Macaca mulatta: one gene and its partner. The protein of the gene in region 1 purifies or fractionates together with the protein of each later gene. This does not show direct contact. Links are inferred from orthologs where the notes say so. Each region holds a gene or a part of one and is shown on either strand. Other genes may lie near its edges.

Region 1 (3,644 bases):
CTCGGCCTCCCAGAGGGCTGGGATTACAGGCATGTGCCACCGTGCCTGGCTATGTATGTTTTTTCTTTTTTGTTTTGAGACGGAGTTTCGCTCTTGTTGCCCAGGCTGGAGTGCAATGGTGCGATCTCAGCTCACTGCAACCTCTGCCTCCCAGTTTCCAGTGATTCTCCTGCCTCAGCCTCCTGAGTAGCTGGGATTACAGGCATGTGCCACCACACCTGGCTAGTTTTGTATTTTTAGTAGAGATGGGGTTTCTCCATGTTGGTCAGGCTGGTCTCAAACTCTGGACCTCAGGTGATCTGCCCACCTTGGCCTCCCAAAGTGCTGGGATTACAGGCATGAGCCACTGCACCTGACCTAATTTTTGTGTTTTTTAGTAGAGACAGGGTTTCATCATATTGTTCAGGCTGGTCTCGAACTCCTGTCCTCAGGTGATCCGCCCGCCTTGGCCTCCCAAAGTGCTGGGATTACAGGTGTGAGCCACCACACCTGGCCTTGTGTATTTTTTTACTAGAGACTGTGTTTCACCTTGTTGCCCAGGTTGGTGTGGCCTTAAGTGATGCTCCTGCCTTGGCCTCCCAAAGTGCTGAGATTACAGGCATGAGCTACTCTGCCTTGCTATAGATATATATTTTCATTTCTCTTGGGTAGATGTACCTAAAAGTGGAATTGCTGGGTCATGTGGTAACTATTTAACTTTTTGAGAAACTGCCAAACTGTTTTCAAAGTCAGCGGTACCATTTTACTTTCCCACCAGCAGTGTATGAGGGTTTCAGTTTCTCTACATTCTCTCCAACATTTGTTTTCATGAGTCTTTTTTATTATAGCCATCTTGGTACTAAGTGGTATCGTGGTTTTGATTTGCATTTCCCTGATGGCTAATGATGTTAAGCATCTTTTCATATGCTTATTATATGTTTGTATTGTATATTTATACATTCGTATGTCTTCTTTGGAGAAATGTCTATTAAAATCATTTGCCCATTTTTAAATTGGGTTGTCTTCATATTATTGAGTTGTAAAGAGTTATTTTACTAGACCCTTAGCAGACATGATTTACAAGAATTTTCTAAGAAGAATTATTTAAAATTTTGCGATTAAAACCAAAATATTTTTAGAATACTCTGTTCTGATCCACAAAGTGGTACTGTACTGTGACCAGCATTGGCATAATTTTTCTTTTATGTTTAAGGGATGAAGATGCCCCTGCTAAGATTCCAGATGAAGAGGCCACAAAACCTGAAGGCTGGTTAGATGATGAGCCCGAGTATGTACCTGATCCAGACGCAGAGAAACCTGAGGATTGGTAAGAACTTCACTTAACTTTTTTAATTATGTAGGTTGTTTTGTTTGTTTGTTTGTTTGTTTTTGTTTTTTTTTTTTTTGAGACGGAGTCTTGCTCTGTAGCCCGGGCTGGAGTGCAGTGGCCGGATCTCAGCTCACTGCAAGCTCCGCCTCCCGGGTTTAGGCCATTCTCCTGCCTCAGCCTCCGGAGTAGCTGGGACTACAGGTGCCCGCCACCTCGCCCGGCTAGTTTTTTTTTTTTTGTATTTTTAGTAGAGACGGGGTTTCACGGTGTTAGCCAGGATGGTCTCGATCTCCTGACCTCGTGATCCGCCCGTCTCGGCCTCCCAAAGTGCTGGGATTACAGGCTTGAGCCACCGCGCCCGGCCTGTTTGTTTTTTTGAGATGGAGTCTCACTCTATCTCCCAGGCTGGAGTTCAGTGGCAGTTTCAGCTCATTGCAACCTTCATCTCCTGGGTTCAAGCGATTCTCCTGTATCAGCCTTGCGAGTAGCTGGGATTACAGGTGTGTGTCACCACACCTGGGAAATTTTTGTATTTTTTGTATTTTTAGTAGAGGCGGGCTTTAACCATGTTGGCCATGCTGATCTTTTTTTTTTTTTTTTTTTTTTTTTTTTTTTTTTTTTTTTTGAGACGGAGTCTCACGCTGTTGCCCAGGCTGGAGTGCAGTGGTGCGATCTCGGCTCACTGCAAGCTCCGCCTCCTGGGTTCACGCCATTCTCCTGCCTCAGCCTTCTGAGTAGCTAGGACTACAGGCGCCCGCCACCGCGCCCGGCTAATTTTTTGTATTTTTAGTAGAGACGGGGTTTCACTGTGGTCTCGATCTCCTGACCTTGTGATCCGCCCGCCTCGGCCTCCCAAAGTGCTGGGATTACAGGCTTGAGCCACTGCGCCCGGCTGGCCATGCTGATCTTAAAAAGTCCTGACCTCAAGTGATCTGCCTGCCTTGGCCTCCCAAAGTGCTGGGATTACAGGTGTGAGCCACCACACCCAGCATAAGTTACCTGTTTTTATGGAAGTCAAACTTAATACTTAAATATAGCCAAGTTCCCCAATTTCAGGGTAGAATTTGACAATTTTAATTATATTTTCTTCTTTTTTAAAAAATATATTTTTCCTGAAAAACTGTTATTACTGGAAAAACAGAAACAGGAGAAGCTGGTCTGATACTGTGAAAACATTTCAGCAGGATCTTGGCAGCCCTGGGCCAGCCAGCTGTTCATAGTCCTGCATCATAGAACCTGTTTATAATTTGTTGTTTGTACCTCCATAGGGATGAAGACATGGATGGAGAATGGGAGGCTCCTCAGATTGCCAACCCTAAATGCGAGTCAGCCCCTGGATGTGGTGTCTGGCAGCGACCTATGATTGACAACCCCAATTATAAAGGCAAATGGAAGCCTCCTATGATCGACAATCCCAGTTACCAGGTTTGTGCCTCTTGATGTTTGAGTTGCTTTCATTGATCTGTTTGTATTCAGATAGAAGTTTTATCTAGAGTCAGGCTGCCAGGTTGGTCATTATGGTTGTTCATTATATTCAAGCAAGCTATTGAATTAAAAGCAGAAGGTAGACATCCTAAGTTGAAAGAGAGCTTATTGGGTGAGGTGTTGCAAAGATAAACCTAGAAACTGGAGTGAATAACTTTATGTAACTTTTTTTTTTTCTTTTTTTTTTCTTTTTTTTTTTTGAGACGGAGTCTCGCTCTGTCGCCCAGGCTAGAGTGCAGTGGCGTGATCTCGGCTCACTGCAAGCTCCGCCTCCCGGGTTCACGCCATTCTCCTGCCTCAGCCTCCCGAGTAGCTGGGACTATAGGCGCCCACAACCGCGCCCGGCTAATTTTTTGTATTTTTAGTAGAGACGGGGTTTCACCGTGGTCTCGATCTCCTGACCTTGTGATCCGCCCGCCTCGGCCTCCCAAAGTGCTGGGATTACAGGCGTGAGCCACCGCGCCCGGCCCTTTTCTTTTTTTTTGAGACGGAATTTCGCTCTTCTACCCAGGCTGGAGGGCAGTGGCGTGATCTCGGCTCACTGTAACCTCTGCTTTCCAGTTTCAAGCAGTTCTCTTGCCTCAGACTCCCTAGTAGCTGAGATTCCAGGCGCCTGCCACCACGCCTAGCTAATTTTTGTATTTTTAGTAGAGACGGGGTTTCACCATGTTGGCCAGGCTGGTCTCAAACTCCTGACCTCGCGATCCCCCACCTCAGCCTCCTAAAATGCTGAGATTACAGGCATGAGCCACCGTACCCGGTCAACTTCCTTTTCTTTGAGACTGAGTCTCACTCTAGCGCCCAGGCTAGAGTGCAGTGGTGCAATCTCGGCACACTGCCACCTCCACCT
Region 2 (4,381 bases), on another chromosome or scaffold:
CAATTTGAGAAAAAAAAAAATTAGTACTGTATTATAACACAAAGGATAAAATAACAATGGTCCATACTGATATAAATGATTGAATACATGGGGGAGAAAAAACAAATCTCCCATGCAGAATTCCAGATAATCTCTGCAGATACTCTGCTCCCAAGGAGGTGGAGCAAAATCCCTAACTCCTTAATGTGTGGGCTGTGCATGGGGACCTCCTTCCAAAGAGTACAGTAGAGAAAAGAGGGGTGGGGAGAAGAATAAGTGTACGGTGCGGAGACTTGATACTACCTCAGTCAAGTGATCAAGTCAGCACCAACAGTGATAGGTAATGTTGACAGTAAGAACCCTTCCTTGGTAGAATGTGATGAGCATAGCACTTTACCTCTGTGATCTTCCTTCCAAAACCCCATAGCGCTAGTCTAATCCTGAGAAAAACATCAAATTCCAGTAGAGGGCCAGCCTACCAAAGATTGTGGCAGTACTCCTCAAAACTGTCAAGGTCATCAAAAATAAAAGGCTGAGGCCAGGCATGGTGGCCCACACCTGTAATCCCAGCACTTTGGGAGGCTGAGGTGGGTGAATCACAAGGTCAGGAGATCAAGACCATCCTGGCCAACATGGTGAAACCCCGTCTTTACCAAAAATACAAAAATTAGCCAGGTATGGTGGTGTATGCCTGTAATCCCAGCTGCTCGGGAGGCTGAGACAGGAGAATCACTTGAACCTGGGAGGCGGAGGTTGCAGTGAGCTGAGATCACACCACTGCACTCCAGCTAAAATAAAAATAAAAATAAAAGGCCGAGACACTGTCACTAACAGGAGTCTAAGACATAACAAATTAATGTATCCTGAATGGAAACCTGGAGCAGAAAAAGGCATAAGTAAAAGGAAGGAAATCCGAATAAACTGTACACTTTAGTTAATATAACAACAGTGCTTCGTTAATTTTAACAAATGTAATACACTAATAATGTAAGAATTTAGTAACGGGTAATTGCAGGGAGGTGTGGCACATGGGAACTCTGTACTCTTACAATTTTTTCTGTAAATCTGTTCTAAAAATTAACGTCCATTATTATTTTTTGGGGGGAGGGACACAGTCTTGCTCTGTCGCCCAGGCTGGAGTATAGTGGTGGGATCTCAGCTCACTGCAACCTGCGCCTCCTGGGTTCAAGCGATTCTCATGCGTCAGCCTCCCCAGTAGCTAGGTGCCTACCACCACACCTGGCTGATTTTATATTTTTAGTAGAAGACGTGGTTTCACCATGTTGGTGAGGCTGGTCTCGAACTCCTGACCTCAGGTGATACACCCGCCTCAGCCTCCCAAAGGGCTGGGATTACAGGCGTGAGCCACCACGCCCGGCAAAAATAACGTCCATTACTTTAAAATAAACAAACAAAAACACGTGGCCGACGGGGGCGGTGCAGATCCGACCTTCCGGAAGCAAAACAGGGCTTTGTACCGAACAAAGATGGCGGCCGCCGGCGTCGGGAGGAGGGCTGCCCTGAAGAAAGATGGCCTCCGCGCGAGGAGGAACCGGAAGCGCGGGTCTGGCGGCGGTACTGGTTCGCGGTCGGCGCGAGAACGCGCAGGGTGGCGCGGGTCCGGGCATGAAGCTGGGCTGGGCCGCGTTGGGCCTGCTGCTGCTGGCGCCGTCCGTGGTGCAGGCGGTGGAGCCCATCAGCCTGGGACTGGCCCTGGCCGGCGTCCTCACCGGCTACATCTACCCGCGTCTCTACTGCCTCTTCGCCGAGTGCTGCGGGCAGAAGCGGAGCCTTAGCAGGGAGGGTAGGCAGGGGCGGGGGCTGGGGCGGGGGCTGGGGCGGGGGCTGGAGGCTGGGGCGGGGGCTGGAGGCTGGAGGCTGGAGGCTGGGGCTGGGAGATGGCACTAGGGCTGGGCTAGGACCAGGGGATGGAGGATGGAGGATGGAGGCGGGGGGATGGCACCGGGGCCGGACTAGGACTAGGGCTGGAGCGGGGCTTGGGGGCTGGGCGATGGCACTAGGGCCGGGCCGGGCTGGGGCTGGGGCTGGTGAATCGCACTAGGGCCGGACTAGGACTAGGGCTGGAGCGGGGCTTGGGGGCTGGGGATCGGGGCGGGGACTGGGGCTGGGGGATGGCACTAGGGCCGGGCCGGGATAGGGATCAAATCCCAGGAGGGTCGGGCCTGGGCAGAGCTGAGTCCGTGCGGGCCGGACCCCGGAAGCCGAGCGGCCCCTGCAGGATGAGGCCTGGCCCCTTGGCCACCACAGACGGGCCAGACTTCAGTTGGAGACCTGAGGAGCCGGGCTGCAGGTTGGCCTACTTTGTGCTAAGCTGGGGGTGGACCGGTGGTAATCTCCCTCCGAAGTGGGCTCTGCTTCCTTTATAGCCTAGCGGGAGACAGGAAGGATGGTGAGGACTTCTTCGGAGGCGACCGGGAGGGACCAAACTGCTTTCTTTCCCCGCCCTGCCTTGGGGTGGGAGGAGCAGCACAGGGGTTAGAGGTGCAAACTGGTGGCAGTGGCAGTGGCAGTGGCACCCGCACCAAGGGCCTTTTCGGGAAGGAACCGGGCCAGGGCTTTAGAATAGGCAGGACCAGCAAAGGGAGGGCTCCCTGGACCACCGTCCCCTCTGGGCCAGGAGCTTACAGACCGCAGTACTTGAGGTTTCACAAGGTGCTTGAAGAGCTAGACGGCTTTGCTGGCTTTCTCATGGGCTGTAAATGTGGCTGCCTTTTGTCACTGTTTCTTCCCCACTCCTGATTGGCTTTGTCTCCCCCAGCATTGCAGAAGGATCTGGACAACAAGCTCTTTGGACAGCATCTTGCAAAGAAAATCATCTTAAATGCTGTGTTTGGTTTCATAAACAATCCGAAGCCCAAGAAACCTCTCACCCTCTCCCTGCACGGGTGGACAGGCACCGGCAAAAATTTCGTCAGCAAGATCATCGCAGAGAATATTTACGAGGGTGGTCTGAACAGTGACTATGTCCACCTGTTTGTGGCCACATTGCACTTTCCACATGCTTCAAACATCACCTTGTACAAGGCAAGGATGGGAGTTTGGAATCCCTTCCTGGATGTCGTCGGGTTTGGGGTCTCTTCGTTGTGGGATGAGATTTGGAAATTCTGTGTTGAAATGAGTGAGCCCTGAAAACGGTTCACGTCTCAGTTCCCCTTGGAAAGGTGTAGAAGTTAGAGTTTGAGATGCGTGGAGCAGTTAACACCATCAAAGCTTTGTGGTGGGTTCTGAAAATCGGTCCAGTGAGTTTGTAGGGTCATGGGATTTTAGAGGTGGACATGATCTAATCCATCTTAGAGATCAACACATCTCACTCGTTTTTTGTTTTTTTTTTTCTTTTATTTTGAGATGAAGTTTCACTCTTGCTACCCAGGCTGGAGTGCAATGGCATGATCTCAGCTCACTGCAACCTCTGCCTCCTAGTTCAAGCAATTCTCCTGCCTTAGCCTCCCAGGTAGCTGGGATAACAGGCTCCTGCTACCATGCCCAGCTAATTTTTATATTTTTAGTAGAGATGGGGTTTTGCCAACTTGGCCAGGCTGGTCTCGAACTCCTGACCTCAGGTGATCCGCCCAGCTCAGCCTCCCAAAGTGCTGGGATTACAGGTGTGAGCCACCATGCCCGGTCACATCTCACTCATTTTGTGAAAGAGAAAACATATGTAGAGAGTCCTAAGTTTGTTGAACCTACTGTTGCAAACTGCCCTTTTTTTTTCTTTGAGTCAGGGTCTCACTCTGTTGTCTAGGCTGGAGTGCAGTGACGCCATCTTGTCTCACGGCAACCTCCGCCTTCTGGGTTCAAGCGATTCTCCTGCCTCAGCCTCCCGAGTAGCTGTGACTACAGGCATGCACCACCACACCCGGCTAATCTTTGTATTTCTAGTAGAGATGGGGTTTCCCCACATTGGCCAGACTGGTCTCGAACTCCCGACCTCAAGTGATCTGCCCACCTCAGCCTCCCAAAGTGCTAGGATTACAAGTGTGGGCCACCTCGCCCAGCGGCAAACAGCTTTTATGGTTGAACTCACTGATTAGCAGCTTGGGCTTTGGCAGCAGACACATCTGGATTTGAGTCCTAACACTCTCCCAGCTCCATAGTCTTAGGACAGTTGCCTGACCTGAGACTCAGGTTCTGACTTACAAAGTGTTGCTTGTAACAATCCAGGGAACTCTGTCTGTCAAGTGTGTAACATGTGCCTGGTGCATGTTACAAATAAATGTTAACTGTTGCCTTTTAGATCCTTGTAACAGACCTGCAAGGTGGGCAAAAGTTATTATTTGTTTATTTTTTGAGACTGAGTTTCACTCTTGTAGCCCAGGCTGGAGTTCAATGGCACAATCTCCATCTGGGCTCACTGCAAACTCTGCCTCCCGGGTTCAAGTGA

What was found. Proteins that work in one complex are often made in the same cells at the same time.
Region 2: the proteins of CANX (region 1) and TOR1A purify together in Homo sapiens (affinity purification with mass spectrometry; 4 studies listed by BioGRID and IntAct, counting the BioPlex papers as one, with this or other methods). This does not show direct contact. The link is inferred for Macaca mulatta from reciprocal best matches to the Homo sapiens genes CANX and TOR1A.

The regions. Positions count from the first base shown.
Region 1 is NC_133411.1:188,708,455-188,712,098, forward strand, and holds part of CANX (calnexin), read left to right. Parts: intron 1-1,192; coding exon 1,193-1,306; intron 1,307-2,577; coding exon 2,578-2,734; intron 2,735-3,644. UniProt on the Homo sapiens protein: Calcium-binding protein that interacts with newly synthesized monoglucosylated glycoproteins in the endoplasmic reticulum. It may act in assisting protein assembly and/or in the retention within the ER of unassembled protein subunits.
Region 2 is NC_133420.1:17,787,281-17,791,661, forward strand, and holds the start of TOR1A (torsin-1A), read left to right. Parts: upstream 1-1,556; 5' UTR 1,557-1,605; coding exon 1,606-1,783; intron 1,784-2,758; coding exon 2,759-3,024; intron 3,025-4,381. UniProt on the Homo sapiens protein: Protein with chaperone functions important for the control of protein folding, processing, stability and localization as well as for the reduction of misfolded protein aggregates.